Macaca mulatta: one gene and its partners. The protein of the gene in region 1 binds, or shares a complex with, the protein of each later gene. Links are inferred from orthologs where the notes say so. Each region holds a gene or a part of one and is shown on either strand. Other genes may lie near its edges. The genes, in order: METTL3, CBLL1, RBM15 and WTAP.

Evidence for each region.
Region 2: METTL3 (region 1) and CBLL1 share a complex: the UniProt entries of both Homo sapiens proteins name them as parts of the WMM complex. The link is inferred for Macaca mulatta from reciprocal best matches to the Homo sapiens genes METTL3 and CBLL1.
Region 3: METTL3 (region 1) and RBM15 share a complex: the UniProt entries of both Homo sapiens proteins name them as parts of the WMM complex. The link is inferred for Macaca mulatta from reciprocal best matches to the Homo sapiens genes METTL3 and RBM15.
Region 4: METTL3 (region 1) and WTAP share a complex: the UniProt entries of both Homo sapiens proteins name them as parts of the WMM complex. The link is inferred for Macaca mulatta from reciprocal best matches to the Homo sapiens genes METTL3 and WTAP.

The regions. Positions count from the first base shown.
Region 1 is NC_133412.1:94,368,713-94,376,828, reverse strand, and holds the start of METTL3 (N(6)-adenosine-methyltransferase catalytic subunit METTL3), read left to right. Parts: upstream 1-3,116; 5' UTR 3,117-3,233; coding exon 3,234-3,333; intron 3,334-8,116. UniProt on the Homo sapiens protein: The METTL3-METTL14 heterodimer forms a N6-methyltransferase complex that methylates adenosine residues at the N(6) position of some RNAs and regulates various processes such as the circadian clock, differentiation of embryonic and hematopoietic stem cells, cortical neurogenesis, response to DNA damage, differentiation of T-cells and primary miRNA processing.
Region 2 is NC_133408.1:147,359,036-147,366,436, forward strand, and holds part of CBLL1 (E3 ubiquitin-protein ligase Hakai), read left to right. Parts: exon of another isoform or gene 1-563; intron 564-1,037; coding exon 1,038-1,205; intron 1,206-4,987; coding exon 4,988-5,088; intron 5,089-5,472; coding exon 5,473-5,556; intron 5,557-6,986; coding exon 6,987-7,060; intron 7,061-7,401. UniProt on the Homo sapiens protein: E3 ubiquitin-protein ligase that mediates ubiquitination of several tyrosine-phosphorylated Src substrates, including CDH1, CTTN and DOK1. Targets CDH1 for endocytosis and degradation.
Region 3 is NC_133406.1:129,852,461-129,860,474, reverse strand, and holds the start of RBM15 (RNA-binding protein 15), read left to right. Parts: upstream 1-3,494; 5' UTR 3,495-4,365; coding exon 4,366-7,228; intron 7,229-8,014. UniProt on the Homo sapiens protein: RNA-binding protein that acts as a key regulator of N6-methyladenosine (m6A) methylation of RNAs, thereby regulating different processes, such as hematopoietic cell homeostasis, alternative splicing of mRNAs and X chromosome inactivation mediated by Xist RNA.
Region 4 is NC_133409.1:12,279,517-12,287,457, forward strand, and holds the start of WTAP (pre-mRNA-splicing regulator WTAP), read right to left. Parts: upstream 4,545-7,941; 5' UTR 4,328-4,544; intron 4,170-4,327; exon of another isoform or gene 3,972-4,169; intron 1-3,971. UniProt on the Homo sapiens protein: Associated component of the WMM complex, a complex that mediates N6-methyladenosine (m6A) methylation of RNAs, a modification that plays a role in the efficiency of mRNA splicing and RNA processing.

The DNA of each region.
Region 1 (8,116 bases):
CCATCTCAGCTCACCACAACCTGCCTCCCAGGTTCAAGTGATTCTCCTACCTCAACCTCCCAAGTAGCTGAAACTACAGGCACATACCACCACATCCGGCTAATTTTTGTATTTTTAGTAGAGACAGGGTTTCACTATGTTGGCCAGGCTGGCCTCGAACTCCTGACCTCGTGATCAACCTGCCTCGGCCTCCCAAAGTGCTGGGATTACAGGTGTGAGCCACCACACCTGGTCTAGTGTCTTAATACTTACATATTTGCTTATGATTCCATGGAGTGCCTGGTAGGATGGCTTGTCTATGTTCCATGTGGTGAGGACTAGGCTCATTCAGGCAGCTTTCATTTGGACTGGAGAAGCCAAGATGGCCTCACTCACTTCTGGCTACTTGGATGGCTGACTGTAATGCTGAACCTTCTCTCCTTACCATCCTTCATCCTACAGGGTCTCTCTTTTCAAATGGTCTAGCAGGGTAACTGGACTTCCATGAAGGCCCAGGGTTCCAAGAGGGCAGAAACAGAAGCTGTGGCAGCACATCTGGAGGTCCCTCAGATCTGTGTCTTGCTTCAATAGTGTTTAGATGGAACAGACCCAGGGACTCTCTCTCAAAAATTAGAAACAAAACCAAACCAAACCCCGGAAGCTGTAATGCCTCTTAAGGTCCAGACCTCTTAAGGTCTAGAACTCAGGGAATATCACTTCTGCCACATTCTTTTGGTGAAAGCTAGTCAGAAGCCTAGCTCAGATTCAAGAGGAGAGAGAATAAGCTTTACTTATTGACTGAAAGGGGGCAAAGTCACACTGCCTGAAGGCAAGTGGGTGGGAGGCATTGTTGTGGCCAACTCTGGAAGCAATCTACCACAGCAGATATGAGGAAAAGTTCAGAAGTGTAATGCATGCAGCACCCATCTGCTCAAAATTAGGCTTACACTCTGTTTTGACTAGAAGAAGTCTGTCTGCATTTTTCCTTCCTCCTCCTCCTCCTCCTCTGTGGCTGCTGGGCTGACAAGAAAGCAGTATCTTTCTTTTGAGCAGCAAACTGGTCAAGAGGAGTCTAAAAAGAATCTCTCTATAAGAATATCATGATAAGAGACCTTCCTGTACTTCAAAAAATTTGCCCAATATGCCACTGTAATAATTTACCCAGAGTTAATGTGAAAGCAAAAACTTCTGAGAGCTGCCCTTGATTTGACTGACTTTCAGGAGTACTTGTGCTACTTCTTTGCACCACTGCCCTCCAGCAGTGAAAGAGTGAGGCTTATCTTAATAAAACAAAAACAAAAAAACAAAGTTACACATCCCAAAAGACAGTGTAAATTCCCTAAAAGTAAATTAAGTTCAGAAAATGAGATGGAAATGAGTATTTTGATCACTACTAAATCTCCATAGTATCTAACACATAGTAGTCACTCAATACTTACTGAATGGATAAAAGTCATATTACAATCTTTCAATAGCTCCCTTCATATTCACCCCTTCCTTTTCATTACTGTTCATAACCAGCTTTTAGTTAAAGTTCTTCTCATCAGACACTTAGTTACAATGGACTACTAACCATCTTTCTCCTCTCCTAAATCTCCTTCCTCCTTTCAATTTATCTAGAACAGTAGATCAATTTTGAAACATTTCTATTTACAAACTTTAATTGTTTCCTATTGTATTCTGAATAAATTGCCAAGTCTTTACTCAGGTACCATGTACCTTCTGCAATCTGGCCTCAAATTTGGGAACCTAAAATTTCTCCCAATATTCCCAAATACAAATCTTTTATGTTCTGGCGAACTAATCCGGATTGACATAACACACACCGTGCTTTCCTACCTCTAGTCTAGACCTTTGCCTTTATCATATTCTAGACCTGGATTTCCCTCCTATACCTTCACCTACTGAAAACTTAGCGGTCACTTCAAGCCTGCACCTTGATGCCAGCTTCTTTCCAATGTCTTCCTGGGTCCTTAAACTTGCAGTCCTCCTCTTCTTTGAAATTACGTTTGTTGTTGTTGTTGTTGTTGTTTTGTTTTTGTTTTTTAAAGAGTCTATGCTCATGCTACCTCATGCTGTAAAGATGGTTCAGTATTAATAAACTGGCTCATAGCTCCTATACCAGATCATAAACTCTTTGAAAACAGGAGCCATGCCAGTCAAACTATTTTTTTTTGTATTTTTTGGACACAGTGTATGGCATCATGTAGACATTGGATAAGTCAGTGATTCTGGAAATGTTTCCATTCAGGGAGCTCCATTAAAAAAAAAAAAAGGCCAAGCCGGTGGCTCACACCTGTAATCCCAGCACGTTGGAAAGTCAAGGCAGGCTGATGACCTAAGGTCACGAGTTCAAGACCAGCCTGGCCAACATGGTGAAACCCCATCTCTACTAAAAATACAAAGTTAACTGGGCGTGGTGGCAGGCGCCTGTAATACCTGCTACTAGGTAGGCTGAGGCAGCTAGAATCTGGGAGGCGGAGTGAGCTGAGATCACACCACTGCACACCAGCTTGGGTGATAAGAATGAAACTCTGTGTCAGGCCGGGCTCAATGGCTCACGCCTGTAATCCCAGCACTTTGGGAGGCTGAGGTAAGCGGATCACGAGGTCAGGAGTTCGAGACCAGCCTGGCCAATAAAGTGAAGCCCCTGTCTCTACTAAAATACAAAAATTACCTGGGTGTGGTGGCACGCACCTGTAATTCCAGCTACTCTGGAGGCTGAGGCGGGAGAATCACTTTAACCCGGGAGGCGGAGGTTGCAGTGAGCTGAGACCACGCCATTGCACTCCAGCCTGAGTGACAGAGTGAGACTCCATCTCAAAAAAAAAAAAAAAAAAAAAAAAAAATCTGTACTATACGGTGTTGCTCTTTATGAGTGCTATTTTAACGTAGGTTACCTCTCAGGACTCCTCTCCGAATATTCAACATGGCCGCATGCGCGTCTATAAGCAACATGGCCGCTCTGCCAGTCACCAACATGGCAACCACAGCCTCACTGTGCCCGGAAGCAAGAGAGAGCAGGTAATAAAGACTATATTGGCCGCTCTGCCAACACCTAACGTGGCTCTCTTTAGAGCTTCCAAGAAAGCGCGACACCGGAAATGACTTTTCTGTCTTGCTCATCTCTAGGGGTCATTTTCCGGTTAGCCTTCGGGGTGCCCGCGTGAGAATTGGTTATATCCTGGAGCGAGTGCTGGGAGGTGCTAGTCCGCCGCGCCTTATTCGAGAGGCGTCAGGGCTGGGAGACTAGGATGTCGGACACGTGGAGCTCTATCCAGGCCCACAAGAAGCAGCTGGACTCTCTGCGGGAGAGGCTGCAGCGGAGGCGGAAGCAGGACTCGGGGCATTTGGGTGAGGCACTGGGCTGCTGGGGCCGAGGCTCAACTGGGGAGGACGGGCGGGATCCCTAGAGAAAAAGCTCCAGAGTTACTGCCCTTTACCAAACGGCCATTTCTATAAAGCCTCGTACATTGGTACTCCATCTCCCCCTTCAGCAGCACAGACCTTCGCCCTTCTGCAAGTAGTTCGCTGTTCCTCCTCACCCTGGGCCTCGGTTCTTCTTGCTCACTTCTATCGGACGGATGCTTGAGCCCCACCCTCGTCCTCCTTGCCCATTCCTCTTTAGACTGCGAGGACGTCGCCTTTGTGAGGCTTCTCAGCCCCCTATCCCACGAAGCAGCAAGAACCCCTTTTTGTTGCTGCTATGGCGCTTTGTTCCCTCAGTTACAACGACTATTTTGTAGTGGTCATTTTTTGGCACCTGTGGGTACGGTAAGCAAGGAATGAACCTTCATATCCACAGTGTCCAATTTAGTGGCCCGTACAGAGTGGCATTCGGTGTTTTTGAATGAGTACCCCTACCGGCATTGTCTTAGCAATTTACATACCTAGCAGGAACCTGAAAACATTTGTGTTTGATTTCCAAACTTTTTCTCCTCTCCTGTTGCCCCTATGTCGCGATCATAAAACTTGAAGGAAATTTAAAAGATTGTTAAGTTCACTCTTATCCACTCCTTACCCCCAGGACAAACTCTGAATTATTTAAGGCAAACTAGTAACAAAGCTCTGCAAAAATAGTGACTCAATATCACCCTTGTGGTAGATTGTTCCAATATTTGTCAGTATCTTCAACTCCATCTCTAAATCTTGTCTAGATCATGTTAGGTTCATGTGCTCATATTCTGGCCCCTAGAAATAGAAGATACACGGGCAGGATCCTCTCACCTAATTAATTATCCTTTCTTAGCTACAGTGTTCATGGGTCTAACTAGACAAAAATAAGTAAGAAATTGCCCCTGTCCTCAAGAATTTTAAAAACCATAGGATTCAAAGGTAGATGCTTACAAAAAGGAATATGATAGGATATATGTATGAAACCAAACGAATGAATCTACAGTCTGTACAGTGAAGAGAAGTAACAAGAGCTGGTGTAGGTAGTGAAGCCATCAAAGCCATCATAGTGGAATTGGCACTTGAATTTGGCCTTTATGGCTATATAGGACCTAGATAATTAAAGAGGTAAGAGGGGAGGATAGTAGAGTAAGAAGTGCAAGTCATTTGATCAGGCAATAATTAGTAGTCAAGTCTCGGAGTAGTTCCTGAATTACCTAAGAGCCAGAGTTTTTTTTTTTTTTTTCCTTGCTCTAGAAACTTCATTGATTTATTTATAGATACAATTTTTTGTTTTGTTTTGTTTCCCCTATTCTTTGGTTTTCTGTTTTGAAACTTTTTAAAAATGTGCATAAATGATGCCAGCGACTTTTTTTGCTTCTGTTTTTGAGATAGGGTCTCTCATCGTTGCCCAGGCTGGAGTGTAGCAGTCCTCCCAGCTCATCCTGTGAGTAGCTAGGACTACAGGGGCATGCCACCATGCCTGGCTAATTTTTAAATTTTTAATAGCGATAAGGTCTCATTATGTTGCCCAAATTTGTCTTGAACACCTGGGCTCAAGCTGTCCTCTTGCCTAAGCCTCCCAAAGTGTTTGAATTACGGGTGAGAGCCACCATATCCAGGCTATTTAATTTTCTTGTGGAATCTTTTCCCTTTCAGTAATGGCAGTTGCAAAAGGGGACCTGAGGATCAGGTAGTTGTTTGTTTCAACAGAGTGATCTGCAAAATTATTTAGTTAGTTAGAGACAGAGTCTCCCTCTGTCACCCAGGCTGGAGTGCTGTGGCATGATCATGGCTCACCGCTGCCTTGACTTCCCAGGCTCCAGCAATCCTCCCACTTCAACCTCTCAAGTAGCTGGGGCCACAGGCGTGTGCTACCACGCCCAGCTAATTTTTGTATTTTTGGTAGCCGGGGTTTCACCATGTTGCCCGGGCTGGTCTCTGAACTCCTGAGCTAAAGCAGTCCACTCGCCTTGGCCTCCCAAAGTGCTGGGATTACAGGCGTGATGAGCCACCAGGCCTGGCCTACAAAATTAACTTTTAAAAAGCCACTATATTGGTGTACTACATCATTGATTACTTTGTGTTCACGTTTCTGTCGTTTTGTAACAGACCATCCTCTGTCTGTGGTGGTGGTGGTTGTTTCTTGGTTTTAATTGTTCCTCATCATACTTATTTTTTTTCTTTTTTTTGAGACGGAGTTTTTGCTCTTGTTTCCCAGGCCGGAGTGCAATGGTGCGATCTCAGCTCACCGCAACCTCCACCTCCCAGGTTCAGGCGATTCTCCTGCCTCAGCCTCCCGAGTAGCTGGGATTACAGGAATGTGTCACCACTCCCGGCTAATTTTGTATTTTTAGTAGAGACAGGGTTTCTCCATGTTGGTCAGGCTGGTCTCGAACTCTGGACCTCAGGTGATCTGCCCGCCTCGGTTTCCCAAAGTGTTGGGATTACAGGTGTGAGCCACTGTGCCGGGCATCGTACTTCTTTATACTTTTCCATTTCTAAATTCATACTCTTTCAATGAATGATTCTAATTGTTCTTGGTCATTTTAAGCTTCATTTCATTTTTCTTTTTTGTTGTTTTTTGTTTTTTTGGGGTTTTTTTTGAGGCGGAGTTTTGCTCTTGTTGCCCAAGCTGGAGTGCAATGGCACGATTCTCCTGCCTCAGCCCCCCGAGTAGCTGGGACTACAGGTGCATGCCACCACACGTAGCTAATTTTTTTGTATTTTTAGTAGAAACGGGGTTTCACCGTGTTAGCCAGGATGCTCTTGATCTCCTGACCTCATGATCCGCCTGCCTCGGCCTCCCAAAGTGCTGGGATTACAGGCATGAGCCACTGTGCCCGGCCATTTCATTTTTCCATGATATTAGCTACATTTTGGTATTAGCCAAACTTTTTGCTGTATCAGACCTAACTACTAGAGCCTTGATACTTTCATCCAGGTCCTTGCTAAACATGTTTAATATTTTTGACACTAAGACTGTATTCTCCCTGCATGTAAATATCCTTTTTTATGTTTATTTTTTCTTTTTTAGATATGAGTATCTCTTGACTTGTATATCTAGCTAATAATATAGCTAAGACCCTTTTTTCTGTGTGTGTGTGTGAGACAAGAATCTCATTCTGTTACCCAGGCTGGAGTTCAGTGACATGAACACAGCTCACTGCAGTCTTGACCTCAGGGCTCAAGTGATCCTCCTGCCTCAGCCTCCTCCTGAGTGGCTAGCACCACAGGTGTGCCCTGCCATGCACGCGTAATTTTTAATTTTAATTTTTTTGTAGAAACCGGGCCTTGCCATGTTGCCCAGGCTGGTCTTGGACTCTTGGGCTCAATCTGTCCTCCCACCTTGGCCTCCCAAAGTGCTGGGATTACAGACGTAATCCCAGCCTAGTTAAGACTCTTATAAAAGTATTTCTGGGGTTGTAATTAAATGTATCTTGTCTTCTGACCCAGAGCTTGATCTGACCCATCATTTGGTACTGTGGTAATAGGTAAAGATGAAACACACAAATTAAGCCAGAATGTCACTGTTCTTTCTGTGTTATTTTGATTATTTCAAAGAATGTATTTTGTTGAGCTTTAGGATTCTTAGGAAACCGTTGTGAAACATACTCTATAGTAAGTTTATTAATCATGTTGTCATGTAAGATACAACCCAAGACTTGATAAAAGTTCAGATTATTCCTTTCATGTCTCACCGGCAATAAAAATTTGTGTACCACATCTTGTTTTTTATAGCATTACTGAAATCTGATAATTATTGACTACTGAACTCAGTGTCAAAAGACAAGGATAGAAAATGAACTAAAATGTATCCATATCATTAATAGTGGAAAATACTGTGCGCAAAATATTGGGAGACCTTCGTTAGATTGGCATTTTTATCATTCATTCATTCTTTCATTTATTTATTTATTTATTTATTTATTTATTTATTGAGATGGAGTTTTGCTCTTGTTACCCAGGCTGGAGTGCAGTGGTGCTATCTCAGCTCACTGCAATGTCTGCCTCCTGGGTTCAAGCAGTTCTCTTGCCTCAGCCTCCCGAGTAACTATGATTACAGGTGTCCACAGCCTTTGGAAGGCTAAGGCGGGTGGATCACCTGAGGTCAGGAGTTCAAGACCAGCCTGGCCAACATGGCGAAACCCTGTCTCTACTAAAAATACAAAAATTAGCTAGGTTTGGTGGCAGGTGCCTGTTGTATGTACTACAGGCACATACAACCTTGCCCAGCTAATTTTTTGTATTTTTTGGGCAAAACACCCAACAGGTTTTTTAGGTTGCTTAGGTTGGTCTTGGACTCTTGGGCTCAAGTGATCCTCCCTCCTCAGCCTCCCAAAGTGCTGGGATTATAGGCATAAGTCTCCATGCCTGGCCTCCTTCCTTTTTAAGGATAAATAATATTCCACTGTATGTATATAACACATTTTGTTCGTTCATCCATGGGTGGGCGTTTGGGTTACTTCCACCTTTTGGCTATCGTAAATAATGCTGCTATGAACCTGGGTGTATGAATATCTCTTTGAGACCCTGCTTTAATTCTTTTTGGCGTATATCGAAAAGTGGAATTGCTGGATCATATCGTAATTCTATTTTTGATTTTGAGGAAGCACCATCCCAATGGGTGTGATATCTCATGTTGGTAAAGTATATCTTTTTTTAAAAAAAATTACCTAAAAAAAATCTTTAATTGAAACAAACTAGATTTGGCCAGGTTTAGCACATAGTAAATATGTGAACT
Region 2 (7,401 bases), on another chromosome or scaffold:
TTAATGTGAACGGTTTTGCTATCTATCTGGACTGTAATATTTCCTGCAGGGGCAGTTATACAACCTTGTTCAATAACTTGTCATGTTTAAAACACAATAAATTAAAGATATGTTATTTGTATTTCCTATTTTAAGCATTTTCCTTTTTGTCTTTAGTAGGTCAAGTTAAGTATTTTCTGTATTATATCTTTTCATCTATTTGAAAAAAGGTGACTGTTAAGCTTTAGATGGGGTCAGTTCTATGAAATAATACTCCTGTTACTCATGGGACAAGAATTAATTCTATAGACAATAACAAGCAAAGACTCCAGGGACTAGAAGGTGACAGTTGTTTAGACCTAGTTGTAGTACAGGAACTTTGCATCCTCTTCAATTATAATTTTCCATTACAGGGCCGACTACGAACTCAGTCATATGTTATAGCCCAATACATTATTGCATGTTTTTACTACTAAATGGTGTAATGATTTTTACTGTAATTCTGAATGATTTTTAGAATAACTCTCTAACACTTAAGGAATAATCACATTTCTTAACTTCATTTTCAAATGCATTATTTAATTTTGCCTTCATCAGTGTTAGTAAGTTCAGTTTACTAAGTTTATTATCTGCATGCTTGATGATCAGACATGGGGATAGGGATGGTTTTCTTTCTTTTTCTCCCTAGTCTTTTTCTTTAAAAAAAAAATCTCTTGTAGTTCAAGACAATGGTTCTTGGGTTCATGAATGGTTTCATGTTTCTGTAAACTTCTCTGGAATTATATGAAAAATTTTATTCACTTTTCTAGGGAGAGGTCCTATAACTTTTATCAGTTTCTTAAAGGATTCCATATCTCAAAAAGGGTTAAAAAGCATTGCCTTAAGTGTTGATCCAAAATAAATAAAATTAGCAGTTAAACTTAATGTAATATTGAAAATCAGAACCCAGATCTTTAATAAACTTGATAATGTTAGGTATGTTGTTTTAATACCTGTGGCAGAATAATCTTTAAAAAGAAAAACTAAAAGAAGTTACAACTTTTTTTTCCCTGACATAGACAATGAGTTACAAGGCACTAATAGTTCTGGATCCTTGGGTGGTCTTGATGTTCGCAGACGAATTCCTATAAAGCTCATCTCCAAACAAGCAAACAAAGCAAAACCTGCACCGCGAACTCAAAGGACTATAAACAGGATGCCTGCAAAGGCTCCACCTGGTGATGAAGGTAATTTGTTTAACTAATAGGTCCAACACTCTTTCTGTTTTATCTGATTGCTCCAGATAGTCTGTGTGATCTTATAGCTACCTCTTTTTTATCTTACATATCATATTTATTCTTCAACCTTTTTGTTTGACTTCTCATTGTAGCACATTGTATTTTTATTTCCCTTTATAAATATTTTTGATTTGATTCCTTTTGTTGTTGAAAGCAATGCTGCCCATTGTTTAATAATCTCAACAGTATTGCAGAAAGCATAACATTAAAAGTAAAATCCTTCTATCCAAAGATAATCCCTGTTGACTTTTTTATACAAAAGTACTGATTTTTTATGTGTAGTTGACATTTTTTCATGTAATACGCATTTAAGATTTTTTCTTATCAGTACATGCAGATATACCTCATTAAAAAAAACAGGTTTGGGTATTTTTAGATATACCATAATTTAACAGTTTTTCCATTTTTTTTCTGTTACAAAAAATGTTGCACCAAATATTCTTGGACATAGTGTTTTGTAGAATTTGTACTTTGCACAGATTTGGCCTTTTTTTTTTTTTTTAATTCCAAAGACTTTAAAACTACAAATTTGGATATTTTAAAACTTGATAGATACTGTGGATTTTAGAGTTTGACAAGTACTGTCAAATTGCAGCAAAAAAGGTATGTTAGTTTTTACTCCCATACACCAATAGTGAGTACTAGAAATCTTTTAAAATTTTTGTTTTGATGTAAATTTCTTTTAATTATGAAAGAGCAAATATTTTTTCATAGTATTGGTCCTTCTTGTTTAGATCCTTTCTTCTGAGTTTTTTGTAAATTAATAGGATTTTTGTTATATGTTATGTATGTATGTGTGTGTGTATATACATATATATATATATATATATATATATTTTTTTTTTTTTTTTGAAATTGGGTCTTACTCTCTTGCCTGGACTGGAGTGCAGTGGTGGGATCATGACTCGATATTCCAGGCTCAAGTGATCTTTCCACCTCAGTCTCCTGAGTAGCTGGGACTACAGGTGCGCCCCACCTGCTTGGCTAATTTTTTGTATTTAGTTTTTGTAGTGATGGGTCTTGCTGTGTTGCCCAGGCTGGTTTCGAACTCCTGGGCTCAACGTTCCTCTCACCTTAGCCTCCCAAGGTGCTGGGATTACAGGCATGAGCCACTGTGCCTGGCCTATATTGTATATATTCTACACTTGTCTTTTAATTTTGTATACAAAATATTTATTGCAGAGAATCTTGAAGATTCTATGTAGTCAGGTATCCAGTCTTTGCTTTTATGACTTCTGGGTTTTGTGACATTTTTTGAAAGGCCTTCCCCTATTTCACCAGTATAAAAGAGTTTTTCCATCTTACCCTTGATTACAGGTTAGCAAACTATGTCTGTGGGCCAAATGTAACCCTGTTTTTATAAACAATTTTATTGGAACACAGCTATGCTCATTCATTTAAGTATTATCTATGGGGGCTTTCACACTATAATGGTAGAGTGGAGTTAATTGTGATTGAGACCATATGGTCCACAAAGCCTAACTATTTACTATTTAGCCTTTCACAGAAAAAGTTCACTGATACTGCTTGAGAACATTTATGGATATGTATTTGGTTATTAAGGGGAAAAAAGGTGGCGTCTGGCTTTTTTTTCCCCCAAAACATTGTCCCAACTCTTTTCCTTGCTGAATAGGAATTTTATTGTTATCATATGTATGTTAAAACAGCAGTCCTCAATCTTCTTGGCACAAGGACTGGTTTCATGGAAGACAGTTTTTCCACAGATGGAGAGTGATGGCAGGGTGCGGGGAGTGATTTCGGGATGCAACTGTTGCGTTAGTTAGATTCTTGTAAGGAGCACCAACCTAGATCCCTCTCTTGCACAGTTCACAATAGGGTTTGTGTTCCTATGAGAATCTAATGCAGCTGCTGATTTGACGGGAGGCGGAGGCAGAGGTCAAGTGGTAATGCTCCCTAGCCCTCCACTCACCTCCTGCTGTGTGGCCGCGTTCCTAACAAGCCAAGGGTACTGGTCCAAGGTCTGGGAGTTGGGGACCCCTGTATTAAAAGTATTTTTTTGTATTTCTAGACTTCCTATTCTATTCCAGCAATTTGTCTGTATTTATTTTGTAGGATCAAGCTGCTTTAGTTAAAACATACATTATGGTTTCTTTTATTGTAGGGTTTCTCTCTCATCTAAACAAGTATATTTGAAGTCAAATTGTTACAAATTGTGTTAGTAATAACCTAGGGCTGCTGTTGCACTACCTCTAATTTACGGTCACTCCTGCTTTGGCTTTTTTTAAAAAACTAATTTTTTAAAACAACATGGTAGTGTACAAATGCATTCTTTAATAGTTCAAACAATGCAGAAAAGCCAAAATCCTTTTCCCCCTTTCCCTCTTGGAATTTGGAGTAAAAGAAATTTTTTTTTTGATTGTTGTTTTCCTAGGCATCAATCAAAATGTGGAGTTTGGGGTGTCAGTGTGGTATCTCTACAAATATATATAGTTTAATGATGGGAGTACAGGTGGAACTACTCTGAAAAATGATAATGTGCTCCTGATTTCCTTGGCTATTATCCCAATCATTTTCTGGGTTTGAAAAATTGAGTTTCCTTATTTTGAATTTTAGATCACACCAGCTTTTCTAAGGTGTAAATAGGTGATAGAGGAGCCTAGGAACTCTCAGGTGTGGCTTATCAGAGCGCCCTGACTTTGGATTATACATTCGTATTGGCAGTAATTAAATAGCAGTACACTGAAGTGTCTATCAGCTTCAAAAAATTCTTGCATCACTATTTGTATGTTAATGTGAGTGTGTGTCTGTGTGTGTGTGTGTCTGTGTCTGTGTATAGGTGCTGTAATTTAGTCATGTGGGTAAAGTTAAAACTTGTGTGCTTGGCTACTCTGTTTACCAGTTCTAGGGCCAAAAGAGTCGTGAGAAGCCTGGCTCCTTGGAGGGATATATTTGTCTGCTCAGCTTTACTTTAGGTAATTGGATTCTACCTGGAATTCCCATCAGACTGTTGATTGGTTTTTTGTTCTTTTGTAGGAGATGAGAAGATTGCCATCAACTTTTTAATTAGGCCAGAGAAATTGAGCCCATTTGATCTTCATATATCTTAAGTTTATTGATATTGATAAATGCGTTGTAGGAAAGGATACATAAGATATGATATGGCTGCTGTTTGGGTAATTAATCAGGGAGTGGTTTTAATCGACAGGATGAAATATGAATATGTTAAGGTGTCTAAATTACTCATTTTAGGGCAAAGAAGAAGATAACTTGTTTGCTAATAAAATGCATAGAATGCTTTATGTTTTCATTATACTCTTGGCAATAAAATCAGTCTCATGGCATACCATTTTTGTAGCTAGACTAGAATAAATGGTGATCAGTATCTTAAAAATTTGTGCAACAAGCATGATAATCAGTAGTCAGTAACATTTTACATTAGAAATAGTTTCATGAATTGATAAGAGCCTTTGAATGGGAGTCAAGAGATCTGAGGTCTGTTCCTGGCTTTGCCACTTTTCTATATGTTGAGTTGTTATGAGTCTCCATATAGTAATATTCTCAATAATGAAGTGAAAGAGTTGGACTAGATCACCAAGATCACTTCTAACTGACGTTTTAAACTAATCTTGATTGTCTTATTCTTAGAAAAGCTTTGAAAGGCATCAGATGGGCTTTTTAGTGAAAAGATCTATTTTGCCATGTATATGTACTTCCAAAATGAAATTTGAGATGTGGAAAGTTAATGGGCAGTACTTTTTTTTTTTTCTCAGAAGGATTTGATTATAATGAAGAAGAACGGTATGACTGTAAAGGTGGTGAGCTGTTTGGAAATCAGCGAAGGTTTCCTGGACACCTTTTTTGGGACTTTCAGGTATAATTAAAAATGAAAAATTGTATTAGAACAATAAAATATTTTAAGTATTAAATAGTTAAAATGTTTTATTAGAGTAATGCACAATACATAAAGAATGTTATGAACTTGTTGTAACTGATTTTCAGTACGTACAAATCATTTGTTAATACTCTATTTTCAAGAATAATTTGAAGTACTTTTCAGTAAAATCAGTAACTATTAACACTAAGAAGAAAAACTAATGGTATCACAGCTAATGGTGGGGAATACATGGAGATTATACCAAGAAGCTTTTATTTCTAATTGTTTTAACAACTTTTATAAAACACTGACCAATTCATTGTGTAGATACAATCTTTAGAATTGTGTGAGAAGATAATTTTAATTATATCATTTCAACAGATAAACATCTTAGGTGAAAAGGATGATACACCAGTTCATTTCTGTGACAAGTGTGGATTGCCTATTAAAATCTATGGGCGAATGGTAAGTATAATTAAATACTGTTTTTGTCAGTAAGCGTTTGCATAGAGGTCGGGTTCTGAAATTTAGATAGGTTTATCATTGTTTCATGACTAAGTTTGCGACATTTTAAATAAGTATGAAATAATTAAGGGAAGTATTGGAATACTATGAATTTAATATTATCTTGACAAATTGTTGAATTCTTGTAAAATATTAAATAAAACTGAAAATTAAAATAATTTCTGAAAACTAATTTCTTTAGAGTGTTTGATACCAGTTAGTTTACAGTTATTCTAGTTTATTAAGGAAAAATTTTTTTCTTAATAAATAGAACAAAACTACTTATGTTTGAAGGCCACAATTTTTTTTACATAAAACTGCATTAATAATATTTATAATTTCTTTTTTTCCTGAGGCTCAGAGAGGCTTGATAATATTTCTGAAAATTGAATTCTAATCGTTAAAAAAATTTTACAATCCTAACTAATTTTATAGTAATTTTCACATTTCTTCCCTCCAAAAAAGATAGTTTTGCGTTTGCGTTTAGAAAAAAAATCGAATTCAATAACGTACCTGTGATGGTAGATGGCGTGGATTATGCACTGTTGCTTTCCTGTACATCATAGTAAAGAAATAGTAACAGGCTGTGAATTTAAAAATGTGGTTCTAACATCATTTTACTGTATCCTTCTGATTGATTTTTAGATTTTTATTAGTTGATTAACTTAAAACGACCAGAGGAAGATGCTGCTTTTATTAAACATAGGACATACTTGTTATTTTTACTGCATTCAAATAGTTTCAGGAGAAACAAGATTTAAAAAAAAACCATGTAATTAAAGTGTTCTTCAGGAGGTTTTGACCTGCAGAGGGCTGGGTGTGGTGGCTCACACCTATAATCCCACAGCTTTGGGAGGCTGAGGTGTGAGGATTGCCAGAGGCCAGGAGTTTGGTACCAGCCTGGACAACTTAGCGAGACCTCGTCTCTACAATAAAATAAAATAATTAGCCTGGTGTGGTGGCACACACCTATGTTCCTAGCTATTCTGGAGGCTGAGGTGGGAACATCAGCCAGGAGTTCGAGGTTACAGTGAGCTGTGATCACACCAGTGGACTCCATCCTGGGCAACAGAGCAAGATCTGTTTCTTAAAAAAAAAGGAAAAAACGTCTGGGTACCATGGGTGAAATTCATAGAGTTTACACCTCCAGAAAGTGTAAGCAAATACATATGTGTATATTTATTGGGAAAGGGGCCATAGTTTTTGTGATGTTCTCAAAAGGCTTTGTGATTGAAAAAGGTTATTATAATTAGTACTTAATAAATATTCATTTTAACAGGTATTCTCAAGTATCTTCTAAGCTGCCTTATGTATAGGTCACTATATATATGTTTTTTTAAGAAATATTTTAAGTTCTAATATGCTTAACTGTAATATGTCTTTGTTTACAGATTCCATGCAAGCATGTTTTTTGCTATGACTGTGCTATTTTACATGAAAAAAAGGGAGATAAGATGTGTCCAGGGTAAGATAAGATTATCATTACCTTTTTTAAATAATAAAGTTTTAGTGCAATGATTTGTAAGTTGGATTAAAGGTTAGGGAGTGATACAAATCAGGCAGGAGATCAAACATACAGACATGGCTAATCTTTTTCTGTGAGCCCAGCTTGCCTAGCGTTTCTCTTTAATATAGGGCAAGGTAAACACTGTCAGTCAACTCAAATTGGTCAGAATGAAATCTGTTTGCCATTATAGAAGTATTATTATAAACCAAAAACAGTTACTTTTTTGATGAGACATTAAAGAAGTATTAAGATATATTGAGAGCAAAGACTCCAGAATTAGAATTCCTGGGTGTGAATCC
Region 3 (8,014 bases), on another chromosome or scaffold:
GGTGCCATTTCAGCTCACTGCAACCTCTGTTTCCTGGGTTCAAGCGATTTTCCTGCCTTAGCCTCCCCAGTAGCTGGGATCACAGGCATCTGCTACCACACCTGGCTAATTTTTGTATTTTTAGTAGAGACACAGGGTGGGGTTTCACCATATTGGCCATGTTGATCTCCAACTCCTGACCTCAAGTGATACACCTGTCTTGGTCTCCCAAAGTGCTGGGATTACAGGCGTAAGCCACTTTGTCCAGCCCTGTTTTCATGACCACTGAAGATCCTCCTCACCTAGGTCAGCTCTCCTCACAAATCTGGCCATTGATCACAAAGAGATCAAATGAAAGCTCGGGTTGCACCTTAACAATTCCATCATCAACAGCAAAAGAAGGGTTCAAAGTCCTGGCCAACTGAACCGTGGGTCACTTTTATCCACTTTTACACATGTGCCCTCTCTAAAGCACATATGTAAACCGAGGATAAAACCTAACTTGGTTGGGTACAGTGGCTCACATCTGTAATCCCAGTGCTTTGGGGAGGCTGAGATAGGAGGATCACTTGAGGCCAGGAGTTTGAAATAAGCCTGGGCAACACGGCTAGACCCCATTGCTACAAAAAATTTAAAAATTAGCTGAGTGTGGTGGTGTGTGCCTGTGGTCCTACCTACATGGGAGGCTGAACCGGGAAGATTGCTTGAGCCCAGGAATTTGAGGTTGCAGTGAGTTATGACTGCACCATTACACTCCAGCCTGGGTGACAGAGCAAGTCCCTGTCTCTAAAACTAAAACTAAAACAAAACAAAACAACAAAAAAGAAAAAAAAGAAAAGAAAAAACTCACTAAGCAGCTTTATGCTTTAAAGCAGGAGTTCCCAGCCCCCAGGCTGTGGACCAGTAATGGTCAGTTGCCTGTTAGGACATGGCTGCACAGCAGGTGAGGGGCAGGGGAGGGAGCATTACTGCCTGAGCTCCACCTCCTGACAGATCAGCAGAGGCACTAGATTCTCAGAGGAGGGCTAACCCTATTGTGAACGGAGTATGTGAGGGATGTCGGTTGTGTGTTCCTTATGAGAATCTAATGCCTGATGATCTGAGGTGGCACAGTTCCATGAAACTGGTCCCTGGTGCCAAAAAGATTGGGGACCACTGCTTTAAAGAACACAAAGGATTTTCAGGTAGTATCTGCTGGGAGCCAGGGAAGGGGGTAATTTTGGGGGCAAGAATACAAAGGAAATGAAAACAAATCATTTAACTACAGCATGGATCCAACTTATGTCATTATTCAGTTGTTGTGGAAACACACACACATGTACACACATACACATCACAGACAATATTTTGGCTGTTACTGTAATAGAATCTAGGCCTTTTCCATCTAAGCATAAAACTTACTAGTCCTCTTGGCTCCAGGCAGATTTTCAGTCCCCCTCGGCAAGCCTTTGTACTATAGCCAGCCGCGGGCAGTAGCTTCCATCAAGCTCTCCGGTATTTGAAGTGGCAAGCCACTAAGCTTGGCATGCCTCTGGTGCATGTTCACACAGACTGGGTGTCTGCTTGTCTCCCTGAATTATTTCTCTCAAATCTTGTGCTCCCTCAACCCCTATCATGAGGTCTGGAAAACTACTGATTTGGTCATTATCTTTTTCTTTGATCAGTGAGTCACCTTAGCAGGTCAATTTAGGTTAAAAAGTCACTCTAGTGCCTGGTTTATTATCTCAATTGACTGTTATATTGAGTAATTAGATAATGGCTTAACTTCAATTTCCATTTGTGGTCTATTAATATAACCCTGAAACATTTAAACCCAGGTAAAACTTTTTCTTTTATTTCATGCTTTTACAAATAATATGTTCATGTATTTTTTATCCTCCAGCATCCAGATTTTTATCTTTAAATACCATTTCCCACTAAAAGGAACCAGAGCTCTCTGGAGAAATGGCTGACTCCACAACTGGGGCAGGAAATGTATATCAGGTAAGTCTGCAGAAAACAATGGAGAAAGGAAGAGTGGGAAGAGTGATGCAGATGAAACAAGATTGACATGATTTGATAATTGTTGAAGTAGGGTGTTGGGTACACGTGGGAGTTCTTTATTCTTTTATGTATTTTAAACTTTTTCCATAAAAATAGTTTAAGGAAAGTTAAAAATGTTATTTTCTAAACTGAAGGAGTAATAGCGCGCCCTTTGTAGAAACAAAAGATTTCTACAAAGAAAAGTGAAGTCTCCCTCCGACTCCAGATCCTTACACCCCTCCTCAGGGCAATCCTAGGAACAATTTCCCACGTAGTTGTCAAGAAAGTTTCCACGAAAATATTTTTAAATGTACATACTCATAAAATACAAATATTTTTAAAACCACAAATGGTAGCGTATTATACACGTTATTTTATGCCTTCTGAAGTTTTATTTCCTATTTTAATACAATGAATATGTCTACACATTACAATATTGTGGATTTTTATGCTTTACAATTGAGCTTCTTCCTTCAAGTTTCTTTGATTTATTCAAGAGATAAAAGGCCTACAGCTTCATATTCCTCAGGATTATTTACAAAAAGAAGGATGGCTCAGCCAAGGCTAAATTTAGGTTACAGTTCCTAATATTAACAGTTTTCAAGTTTAGGTTTCAGCTTTTGGGACATTATTGTTATCCTGAAAAATGTCATGTTTAAAAACACCTCACACCTCTACTATAGATTGGATCTTGGGAAATAGGGTTGAGGACGGGATCAATATAACCTCCGCCCCGGCGCATACCCGGGAGAGCTGCAGACGGTCTAAAGGATGTGGTGACCTCAGCGCTGCGTCCCTGCAGCAACCGGCGAGTGCTGGGGCACAGGCCATATCCCCCTAAGCTCGGCATCGCCTGCACCTCTCACAGGTGCTCTGTCCGCCACAGTAACGCTCTATGGAAATTAAAGTTGTAAGGCGAACGACAGAAGGAGCCAAACGAAGTGGATCCGGAGCGGCCACAAGGTGCCTGTGCTGCTGGCTTTTAACACACAAAAAGAGGAGTGCCAAGGAATACAAGAAGCCACAGGGGGAATAAAAAGCGACATATCTGCATGGAGCCTAAATTTCGCTCGATGATTTTCAGGGAAGAAGCATTACATATTAAAAACAAACATTGCTATTTTACGGGAATACCGGATTTAAAAATCCACACAGATTCGCAACATAAAACAGGCAGCCCAAAGACACGTCCGCGGTGTCCTGACAGTTCCGGCTCCGCCCGCGGGCCACGAGGCGGGGATCGACGGTCACTCCCCTCGGTTGCCCAGAGTACTTGGGCGGCAACGGGGAGCGCCGGGGGGAGACAAGCTCCTGGGCTAGGGCTGCGTCTCAGCCACCTTACTTAGCTCTCGAGGTCCCGCGTGTTACGTGTTAGCACCGCCCCGGGGCGTCAGCGTGACCCGGGGCTGCAGGAACCGTGAACTCCCTGCCCCGCGGGCCCAGGTGACCGCGGGCATCGCTATCCCGCGCGCGGGGGGCGGGGCTTCCCCCGGCTGTACACTCAGCTACCACAGCGACATAAGATGGTGTCCGCTAGGCGTCCCAGGACGGCTTCCTAAGGGACTGGAGGGCCCCGACAGCCGGAGAGTCTGCCCCGCCCCTTGGCCGGCACAGGTAGGACGGCGGGGAGCTCAGAAGTTTCGAACTCCAAGGGCCGAAGCACAGCCAAATACCCCACGGAACTTAACAAATGTTTGTGGGGAGAACGCCAAAAACGCGGGGAGGCGGGGCTGGCGCACAGTCACCCTCTCGCGACATCTAAGTGACGTCGCATAGCAAGCACGTGTTCTAGTCTTTCACCTTCAGTCAGCCTCCTCCGTTATATGGGCCTACCCCTTTAAGCGAGTGATGGACAGTTACTTCAGCCTATCAACTTCCTTGCAGACATCCAATCAGATTTAAACTTCTTTTAGCCGCCGGAGGAGTTGGAAAAAGGGGGTCGAAAGAGGGAGCTCACCGTCTCTCGCGATATCGCTGTGAGCCTGCCTCTCGAAAAAACGCCGAAACTTGGCCCCACCTCCCAAATAGTGGTTTAAAGGACGGGTTTATAAGCCAATGAAAGGGATGAGGAGGCGGGGTTGCTGCTTTCACTGAGCAAGAAGTACCGTTACAGGGCAGACTTTTTGTCCAATCAACACAGCTACACTTTGGGTCACGTGACCGCAGAGTGCGAGGGGCGGAGCTACAGCCTGGCGCGAGGAACCGTTAAGATAGACAACAAATGTAACCAATGAGGTACTCTGACTAGGGGGTTGGGAACCCAATAACAGTGGTTGGGCGGGCGCCTTCCTGGAGCGCGGGGAGATGTAAAGATAGACAAATAATTTTCCCAATGAGACTGTAGAAGAGAGAGCTAATTGGCCAATGAGGACTGCGGGGCGGGACCCTGTGCCGCGGCGGAGTCCAAGATGGCGGCGTGCGGTTCCGCTGTGTGAAACGAGCGCGGGGCGGCGGGTTGATCAGCTCCGCGGAGACGACCTCCGAGGACCCGCAACAATGAAGGGAAAAGAGCGCTCGCCAGTCAAGGCCAAACGCTCCCGTGGTGGTGAGGACTCGACTTCCCGCGGAGAGCGGAGCAAGAAGTTAGGGGGCTCTGGTGGCAGCAATGGGAGCAGCAGCGGAAAGACCGATAGCGGCGGCGGGTCGCGGCGGAGTCTCCACCTGGACAAGTCCAGCAGTCGAGGTGGCAGCCGCGAGTATGACACCGGTGGGGGCAGCTCCAGTAGCCGCTTGCATAGTTATAGCTCCCCGAGCACCAAAAATTCTTCGGGCGGGGGCGAGTCGCGCAGCAGCTCCCGGGGTGGAGGCGGGGAGTCACGTTCCTCTGGGGCCGCCTCCTCAGCTCCCGGCGGCGGGGACGGCGCGGAATACAAGACTCTGAAGATAAGCGAGTTGGGGTCCCAGCTTAGTGACGAAGCGGTGGAGGACGGCCTGTTTCATGAGTTCAAACGTTTCGGTGATGTAAGTGTCAAAATCAGTCATCTGTCGGGTTCTGGCAGCGGGGATGAGCGGGTAGCCTTTGTGAACTTCCGGCGGCCAGAGGACGCGCGGGCGGCCAAGCATGCCAGAGGCCGCCTGGTGCTCTATGACCGGCCTCTGAAGATAGAAGCTGTGTATGTGAGCCGGCGCCGCAGCCGCTCCCCTTTAGACAAAGATACTTATCCTCCTTCAGCCAGCGTGGTCGGGGCCTCTGTAGGTGGTCACCGGCACCCCCCTGGAGGTGGTGGAGGCCAGAGATCACTTTCCCCTGGTGGCGCTGCTTTAGGATACAGAGACTACCGGCTGCAGCAGTTGGCTCTTGGCCGCCTGCCCCCTCCACCTCCGCCACCATTGCCTCGAGAGCTGGAGAGAGAAAGAGACTACCCGTTCTATGAGAGAGTGCGCCCTGCATACAGTCTTGAGCCAAGGGTGGGAGCTGGAGCAGGTGCTGCTCCTTTCAGAGAAGTGGATGAGATTTCACCCGAGGATGATCAGCGAGCTAACCGGACGCTTTTCTTGGGCAACCTAGACATCACTGTAACGGAGAATGATCTAAGAAGGGCGTTTGATCGCTTTGGAGTCATCACAGAAGTAGATATCAAGAGGCCTTCTCGCGGCCAGACTAGTACTTACGGCTTTCTCAAATTTGAGAACTTAGATATGTCTCACCGGGCCAAATTAGCAATGTCCGGCAAAATTATAATTCGGAATCCTATCAAAATTGGTTATGGTAAAGCTACACCTACCACCCGCCTCTGGGTGGGAGGCCTGGGACCTTGGGTTCCTCTTGCTGCCCTGGCACGAGAATTTGATCGATTTGGCACCATACGCACCATAGACTACCGAAAAGGTGATAGTTGGGCATATATCCAGTATGAAAGCCTGGATGCAGCGCATGCTGCCTGGACCCATATGCGGGGCTTCCCACTTGGTGGCCCAGATCGACGCCTTAGAGTAGACTTTGCCGACACCGAACATCGTTACCAGCAGCAGTATCTGCAGCCTCTGCCCTTGACTCATTATGAGCTGGTGACAGATGCTTTTGGACATCGGGCACCTGACCCTTTGAGGGGTGCTCGGGATAGGACACCACCCTTACTATACAGAGATCGTGATAGGGACCTTTATCCTGACTCTGATTGGGTGCCACCCCCACCCCCAGTCCGAGAACGCAGCACTCGGACTGCAGCTACTTCTGTGCCTGCTTACGAGCCACTGGATAGCCTTGATCGCAGGCGGGATGGTTGGTCCTTGGACCGGGACAGAGGTGATCGAGATCTGCCCAGCAGCAGAGACCAGCCTAGGAAGCGAAGGCTGCCTGAGGAGAGTGGAGGACGTCATCTGGATAGGTCTCCTGAGAGTGACCGCCCACGAAAACGTCACTGCGCTCCTTCTCCTGACCGCAGTCCAGAATTGAGCAGTAGCCGGGATCGTTACAACAGCGACAATGATCGATCTTCCCGTCTTCTCTTGGAAAGGCCCTCTCCAATCAGAGACAGACGAGGTAGTTTGGAGAAGAGCCAGGGTGACAAGCGAGACCGTAAAAACTCTGCATCAGCTGAACGAGATAGGAAGCACCGGACAACTGCTCCCACTGAGGGAAAAAGCCCTCTGAAAAAAGAAGACCGCTCTGATGGGAGTGCACCTAGCACCAGCACTGCTTCCTGCAAGCTGAAGTCCCCGTCCCAGAAACAGGATGGGGGGACAGCCCCTGCGGCAGCAGCCTCTCCCAAACTCTGTTTGGCCTGGCAGGGCATGCTTCTACTGAAGAACAGCAACTTTCCTTCCAACATGCATCTGTTGCAGGGTGACCTCCAAGTGGCTAGTAGTCTTCTTGTGGAGGGTTCAACTGGAGGCAAAGTGGCCCAGCTCAAGATCACTCAGCGTCTCCGTTTGGACCAGCCCAAGTTGGATGAAGTAACTCGACGCATCAAAGTAGCAGGGCCCAATGGTTATGCCATTCTTCTGGCTGTGCCTGGAAGTTCTGACAGCCGGTCTTCCTCTTCCTCAGCTGCATCAGACACTGCCACTTCTACTCAGAGGCCACTTAGGAACCTTGTGTCCTATTTAAAGCAAAAGCAGGCAGCCGGGGTGATCAGCCTCCCTGTGGGGGGCAACAAAGACAAGGAAAACACCGGGGTCCTTCATGCCTTCCCACCTTGTGAGTTCTCCCAGCAGTTCCTGGATTCCCCTGCCAAGGCACTGGCCAAATCTGAAGAAGATTACCTGGTCATGATCATTGTCCGTGGTGCGTCCTAAAGTCCATGTGTAACTTGTATTTACTACTTTGACATGGTTCCTGTTTTGTGATGTGTAATGGGATACAGCATCAGATGCAATTTTCTTTTTAGTTGTTAGTTGTAGCATTTTCTTTTTTATATTTTTATAAACGTCTTTAAAATAGAAATCAGGACAGTTTAGCTATTTTTTTGTTTGTTTAGCTATTATTTTAAGTGAAAGGGATGCCCTAAAGGTTAGCAGGCAGACAGATTTGCTTTAATTAGGAGTTCCCACCCTTATGAGTAATTTTTTTCCTCTATTCAGTTTTTTTTTTTTTTAATCTTGAGCCTAAAAAATCCTCTGAGTTACAAAACCAAAACTTTGAAAAGTCAGAATTTGGAGAAAGGAGTCCACTGACCATACAAAGAGAGTAATAGCCACCTAAAAATGACTTGATTGGTGTGTAGGTAGATAATTCTTTTACCAGAAATGTGTGTGACTGAAATTTGATCAGGGATCTCAAAGGTATGCTGGTAAATTGTTTAGCAATGTAATTATTTTAATCAGGTATTTGAATATTAAGATACAGTTTATTCCCAGAGAGTTTGCTTTAACATGCATTTTTAAAATCATTTGTTCTAGAGTTCTGTATCCCGTGTATGCACTTTTGGTTTGTAGCAGTAACTGTTCAGTAAAAATTAAGGACTATGTTACAAACCATATATGTCTTATGCTTACACTAGTATGCAAGAAGTGAGTAGGTGCTTTTAAAATCAGAATTCTTTGGTCAGTTATTGGTGTGTGGTGATGTTTT
Region 4 (7,941 bases), on another chromosome or scaffold:
CCTCAAAGAGAATTACTGCAACCAGGGTCCAAATACTGTGCTATTTCTGAAGACAGACATTAATCTTTAGCATGGTAACTGGAACAAAATGGGCATTTAATTATTAGTTTCCTTCTCCCCATCAAAAACACAGACTCAGTGTTTCTTGAAACACCTGAAAAGATAATTCACAGGTTGCAGATAATAGTCATACTGTCATCCTGACTGTTTCTAACACTTACTGCAGAATTCTTGGCATCTCCAATATTTAGAATTCTAAACAGAAGTTACTTAAATTTTCTTTTTCTCTCTCTTTCTTTGAGACAGTGTCTCACTCTGTCGCCCAGGCTGGAGTGCAGTGTGACTCGATTATGGGTCATGCAGCCTCTATCTCTTGGGCTCAACTGATTCTCTTGCCTCAGCCTCCTGTGTAGCTGGGATCACAGGTGTGCACCACCATGCCCAGTTAATTTTTTTTTCTTGTTAGTAGAGATGAGGTCTTGCTATGTTGCCCAGGCTGGTCTTGAACTCCTGGGCTCAAGTGATCCTCCTGTTTGGACCTCCAAAAGTGCTGGAATTACAGTTGTGAGCCACCATGCCCAGCCTACAGTTATTGAAATTTCTTTTCTTTTTTTTTTTTGAGACGGAGTCTCTCTCTGTTGCCCAGGATGGAGTGCAGGGGTATGACCTTGGCTCACTGCAACCTCCGCCTCCTGGGTTCAAGCGACTCTACTGCCTCAGCCTCCTGTGGAGCTGGGACTACAGGCACGCGCCGCCACGCCCAGCTAATTTTTTTTTTTTTTTTTAAGTAGAGACATTATTTCACTATGTTGGCCAGGCTGGTCTCGAACTTGACATTGGGTTATATTCTTTTTAAAAAGTTTGATGTTGAGTAGATTTTAATTAAATGGAGATTTTTACTGAAATTTTCTCTAAAAATAAAATTCTGTATTTGTAATGTAAGTCAGGAGTAAATACAGGTTTTGGATAAATGTGTATGCTTCCTAAGTCAATTCTCAGAGTCACTTTTAAGATCACTCCAGCTGTTTGGGGTATCCAACTTGGGAAATTCAGAGCCTCGGCATTTAGAAAGAAAATCCTTTCTCAACTTTAATCTGATGAAAAGTAAATCGTTCCTTGAAAGTCCATGATATGTCACAAAGTTAAATGCACCATCTGGCAAAATCAAATTAGAACAGGTTCAAAATTTACAACTATCTAACAACATTCAACTATTTGGTCAAAACAGAACCTAATTGGCAATTTTGACTTTCACACCACAAGAATGTACTGAGAAGTTTGGTATTCCCCAGGGCAATTTTTTTTTTTTTTTTTTTTTAGCGCAAATGACAAAAACAATTACCATTTAAAGTCAATTCTAGATTCATAAAGACAATGAATATTCCAGGTTTTCAGAACAATCTACTGTCACATCAGAAAAACAGAATGACCATAACATCATTTGGAGTCAATTAAAATTGAATCCTGAAGGAAAATAATAAAATATGCTCAGTTCTTATGAGTCACACATTGAATAACAGCACTTTTCAAAGTCAAAGTTAGTTCCCATTTTCCAGGATGAAAATGACTGTGAGTCATTAGGTGATTAGCTATTAGGTGATGAAAACAACTATTAATAAATTGGGGTAAGGGTCTCAAATTTGGTGCCACCCAAAAAGGTGGTAACATGATTGACTAGTTTTATAACACGAAAAGGTTTCAGTTATTTATGTAGATAATTCAGAGATAATATATCTCAGAATATCAGGACAACCATCTACTCTTGATGTCTTAACATAGAAAAACAGCTTAGTATGGAGTTCAGTCTTGACTGGTTAGGTGCCTAAGATCCCAGATCCCAGTACCTTCCTGGCTCTCAGCATCATAAAGTCAGGTAACTCAGTTCCCTCTGAACAGAGGCAAGCGCCAACCAACACAACTTCAGTAAGAAGACACAGTACCTTGGTGAAACAAATCATAGCTGAATGTAAGAAATCAATCTTCAGACACTGTAGGAGCAAGGTACTGATGAGGAACTGAAAGGCCATCTTTTCCTTACCCTCTATCTGCCATATGTGATTCCAAGCAAGTCTTTTAACTCTTGCAGTTTCAAGTCAGCAAAAAGATAATTTTGCCTGCCTCACAAAGTGCTGCAAATATTAATGCTTTCAGCACAATAAAAATGCTACAAATAGATTTTTCAAACAAAATATGAACATAATATGAACATAAAAGGCAACTTCAACGTGCACTTAGAAAAGATTAAATTCTACTAACTGTATCTTCAAAGGCAGAAAATATTTATAGCACTATATTCTAGTTAGATGGAATACCGTTATACACAATGAAGTATACTATGGTGGAGATACTGAGAAGTTTTTCTGTGTTAAGCTTAGTAACTACAAGAAACAAAATATTTAGAGGCAGAAAGTTGGAGACAACTAAAAAAATTAACACTATCTTAGTCTTGTTTTGCTGAAGGACCTACTAACATACAATTTTGACGAGCAAGAAACAAATATATAATGATCTAAACTGCTAAACAATATATTCAAAGGGATTCAATACTACATACAAGACCACAGGGGACCTTGAACGCTTTACTGTACTGTACAAATTGTGACAATGCTCATCTCCACATCATAGGGCTTTTACATATTTTCTGTTTCATCTCTACCAGCTTATTTCTGACAAACAATACACAAAAATATTTTCAGCAAACATGACTCAACGTTGAATTGGAAAAGCTACACATAAAAGAGCCATGTAAAAATAAGCTGTGCCTGGGACACCCTATTATTATTACTTTTATCCTTTAGGAGTTAGACATTCTGGTAGCTTGTACAAATTCTGCCACTGAAAAAGTACGAAAAATACTGAACTTTTAGACTATGTGTCTGCTTAAGATACCTTAAGATCTAAAAGCACTGTAAGAAACACACCTATCCAAACCTGTAAAATGTAACCTCAACCTTATCACAAGCCAACCTGCGGACTTGCCTAATCAGATGCTACTTGAATGAATTAAAATGTATCCACCTTGAAAAGATTTTTCGCTCATAATTTTAAATTACGGTTTTAAATGACCACAACATGTTTATCGTAGAAAACTTAATGGTCAAAATTTTAAAATCCAAAAAACGAGACCGTGTGATGGATCTATGACGTCCACTTATCTTCCGAAGCAACAGAATTAACTAAAACTAGATAAAATAGGCACAAATACAACTTCTAACTGTAACATACTAATCGAAGTATTTCCCTACCAAACTAAACAGTTTTTTTTTTTTTTTTTTTTTTTACATAATCAGCTATGCTAGTCCTTGATAATGTTAAGCTAGTCCTTTGGGATCAACCAACCAAGTGACTTCCTTATCAAAACAAGAACTTGGCCTTTTCCACTACGTGTACACTGACTTATGAAAAAAGGTTAAAAAAATAATGTAGTAACTGTCTCACAGGGATCCAACGTAAGACTTGGATTTCACAAAAATCTGCAAATAATTCAGTTTCTTTCCTCAGAATGCATGCACTCATTTAAAAATGGAAGTCTACAAGAGAACGTAGCTGCAGTAACATCCTACTGCGTGACATGAAATGTAGGGAACGAACGTTTCTTTTTTTCCTTGCTGAACTCGGGAGAGGCCCAAGGGAGGTGGAGGGAGCAACACCGAGGTGAGGAAAAAACGAGCGCCGCCGCTCAGCCCGCGGAGGGCATCCTCCGACCTCCGTGAGTGGCCGGTCTCTCTGGCCGCCGGAGCACCCCTCTCACCCCGGGCCCTGGGGACGGAGGACGGAGATAAAATGGCCTCGACGCGGCGGAAGTGTTCCCCGCTGGCGGGAAGGTAGAGCGGATAACGAGACTGGTGCCGCGCCGGGCCCGAGTGGCCTTTCGGGCCCTGCCAGCCTCTTACCGGCCGGGGGCGGCTGCGCCCCAACCCTCAGCCCCGGAGGTCCCCCGCGGCCGCTCCCGCCAGCCGGCCCGCACCTACCTCTTCAGGCAGAAGCCGCGCCGGCGCCGCCAGTCGCATAGGCCGAGGCCGCGCTGCTTGCCCTGCCGCCCGGGCCCCCCGGGCCCCCGCGCAGCCGGACAGCTCTGGCGCCTGCCCCGCCGCACTCCTAGTCCCGCCGCAACCCCAGCGCTCCCCTTTATTTGTGGGTCTCGCTGCCACAAAATGGCGCTGAGGGAGGAAACCAGGACCCGCCGCCCGGCCCCGCCCCGCCACCGGGCTCCGCTCCGCCCCGCCCCGCCCCACAGCCGGCCCAAACTCGCCGCAGGCCAGCGCCACTGCCTCCCGCCTCCCGCCAGCCTCCCCGCTCCGCCATGTTCGCGTTCTGGCCCACTCACAGAAGAGTCGCCTTTCAGGCGTGGCCGCAGTCACTCGCCCGCCGCCGGGCCCTGCCAGGAGAGGAAAGGTGAAGGGAGGGAGGCCGCCAGCCTAGCCCGATCGGGGCCTCGAGGCGCAATGGAGCAGCTGCTCCCCGGTAATACGCCCCGTCCTTTCCCAGGAGCCTGGCGCGAGCTCCGCGGGCGCCGGAGCTCAGCTAGCGCGGTAAGGGAAGCGGCCGAAGGGAGGGGCGGGCCAGCGAGGTCGGAGGTCAGCCCCGGGGCATCACGGGAAGGGAAGGTGGACGTACTCGCCGGGGCCACCTGCGGCTGCGGGGGCGGCCTCGTGCGGAGGGATCTGGGCGAAGGCGGCCCGTGATTGGCCGCTTTGTGTTCGCGACGCTCATCCGTGATGCTTCCGCGTGCCGGAGAACCAGGTGCCACCTCAGAAGAGAAGCGGTGGGCGGCGAGCCGCGGGCCTTTGCTCTTAGCAGAAGCTCACCTGTAAGTTTTGGGAACTTAGAATCCGATGTCCTCCCTCTCTTCAGTCGTGAGGCGCAGCCTTCTGGCCGCTGGGTTCGTTCCTCCTTGACATCTCTGGAGACGCATCAAGGAGCTATTGTTCTCCGGCGTCGGAGGTTGCGCTGTGTCCGCGGCGCTGAGGGCTCCTTGCTAACTCGAACGTGGGGAAGGCGGCCCTGTGAGGTTTAGTGAACCCAACCAAAGAGGTCCTGCAAGTGGAGTAGACTCCCTGAAGCAAGACTGCCATCTGGACCGCCGAGTAAGGGCGGTGTTACCTGGAGAAGCAGTCTCTAAACACTTACTAGAGGAGCACGTAGTTCTTTTGATTGGTCTGTCCTTAGCCGGCTTTCTCGAACCTGTTCATCCCCAAAGGAGTGTCTTGTAGTAGGGTGATCTATTAGGATTAAAGTACATTCCAGATGGCCATAGTGTGTTCCCAGTGAATCAGATCAGTCTGGAGAAAATCTTTGCAACTTGTATCACAAGAGCGCTAAAAAATTGAAAACAAAAAGTCCAAAAGCCAAAGGGGAAAATGGGGAAGCACATGAACAGATGATTCTCAGAAAAAATAGTCATTTTTTATGTTCTATGTAATTCTGTGTTCCTCATGAACATAGAAAGTCGCTCCACCTCACTTACAATGGAAATACACATTGAAATTGCCTTTCCTGGTGGGAATGGAAAAATGGTTCAAGTTCTGTCGAGTTCAAAATTACTTGTTTTTTCTTATACCTTGAAGTTATACTTCTAACCCTAACCTTATTCTGAAGGTACAGCTCCACACGTGGAAACAATAGGTACACAAGGTTATTGCAGTGCTGTCATAGCAAAAGTTAGGGATAACCCAAATATCCATTAATAGAGAACTGATTGGGAATGGTGCATCCATACAGTAGAATACAGTGCAGCCATTAAAAAGATTCATAAAATAATCGTGTTGCTTTGAAATGAGTCTCAGGTTATATCAAGTATTCACTTAAATACTTAAGTATATTAAGTATTCACGTTATTCAAAAGCAAAAATAAGCATATATGCTTTTATTTACTTAAATATATAAAAATATATTTAATATGAATATTTATATATATATACTTATTTTGGGGGAGGAATTGGAAGGATATCCTTGAAACTTAAAATAGTTACCTATAAAGAGTGGTGGGAAAGAGTGGAGGGGAGACAAGACTTCTCTACTTTGAATTTTTCGTTTTACATAGCCAAAAAGTAAATAAAAAAGAAAACAAAATAAATCCTAAGGTTGAAAGCAAATAGAAACAAATGAACTTAACTAATACAACTAGCGATACACAGAAAAAATAATTTGGGGCTTTTTTTTTTTTTTTTTTTTTGAGACAGTCTCACTGTGTTGCCCAGGCTGGAGTGCAGTGGTGTAATCTCAGCTCACTGCAACCTCTGCCTCCTTGGTTCAAGCGATTCTTCCACCTCAGCCTCCTGAGTAGCTGGGATTATAGGCATGTGCCATCATCCCCTGCTGATTTTTGTATTTTTAGTAGAGATGGGGTTTCACCACGTTGGTCAGACTGGTCTCAAACTCCTGACCTCAGGTGATCTGCCTGCCTTGGTCTCCCAAAGTGCTGGGATTACAGGCATGAGCCACCACCACTGGCGCCTCCGAGCTTTTGAACACAGTACTCTAGTAGTGTATCTGTGTTGAGATAGTGTAGTCTTTCCTTATATGCAGGAGATTGCGAGCCACCACCACTGGTGCCTCCGAGCTTTTGAACGCAGTACTCTAGTAGTGTATCTGTGTTGAGATAGTGTAGTCTTTCCTTATATGCAGGAGATTGGATCTAGGACCTTCTGGGAGCCTATACAGAAATCTGCATACTAAAGTCCCAGACCTGAGCATAGGGAAAGTTGGTTCTTTGTATAGGCGTGTTTTGCATCCTGCTGTACTTCTGCTTTGTTTTCTTCCTTCCTTCTCTTTCATTTCTTTTCTTTTTTCTTTCTCTCCCTCTCTTCTTCCCGCCCTCCTTCCCTCCCTCCCTCTCTCCCTCCCTCCTTCCCTTTCTTCCTTTCCTTCCCTTGCTTTTCTTTTTTTTTCTTTTTTGAGAACAGGGTCTGACTGTCATCCAGGCTGGAGTGCAGTGGTACGATCACGGCTCACTACAGCTTTGACTTCCTGGGCTCAAGCAGTCCTCCCATCTCAGCCTCCCGAGTAGCTGGGACCACAGGCATGTGCCACCACATCTAGGTAATTTTTTTCTGTTTTTTTGTAGAGCGCTATGTTGCCTAGGCTGGTCTTGAACTCCTGGGCTCAAGTGATCCTCCCACCTAGCCTCCTAAAATGCCAGGATTGTAGGTGTGAGTCACCGTCCCTGGCCCCACTGTGTTTGGGTAAAAAGAAATCCACATATAAGTGGACCCTGGCAGTTCAAACTAGTGTTATTCAAGGGTCAACTGTGTATCCTAAGGATGAAAAAAGTGCAAAGGAGCTTTCAGCTTCACTGATTTATGATTAATGGTAACATTGTTACTGTGGTTTTGAAACTGTACTGCATATGGTAGGATAACATAAGTATTTTAATGTTACTGTGTACAAAGACTTGCAGTGTATGAGAAAATGAGATACAAATGCAAGATCAAAGAAGTTCAGAAAAGGGCCGGGTGTCTGATGCCTGTAATCCCAGCACTTTGGTAGGCCAAGGTGGGAAGATCGTAAGAGTCCAGGAGTTTAAGACCAGCCTGGGCAACGTAGCGAGATCTGTCTCCATTTTTTAAAAAATTTAAAACAATTTTTAAGAAGTTCATTGATCCTCGGGGGGAAGAAAACTAATATAAAGAATTTTAGGCCGGGTGCGGTGGCTCAAGCCTGTAATCCCAGCACTTTGGGAGGCCAAGATGGGCGGATCACGAGGTCAGGAGATCGAGACCATCCTGGCTAACACGGTGAAACCCCGTCTCTACTAAAAAAATACAAAAAACTAGCCGGGCGAGGTGGCGGGCGCCTGTAGTCCCAGCTACTCGGGAGGCTGAGGCAGGAGAATAGCGTAAACCCTGGAGGCGGAGCTTGCAGCGAGCTGAGATCCGGCCACTGTGCTCCAGCCTGGGCGACAGAGCGAGACTCCGTCTCAAAAAAAAAAAAAAAAAGAAT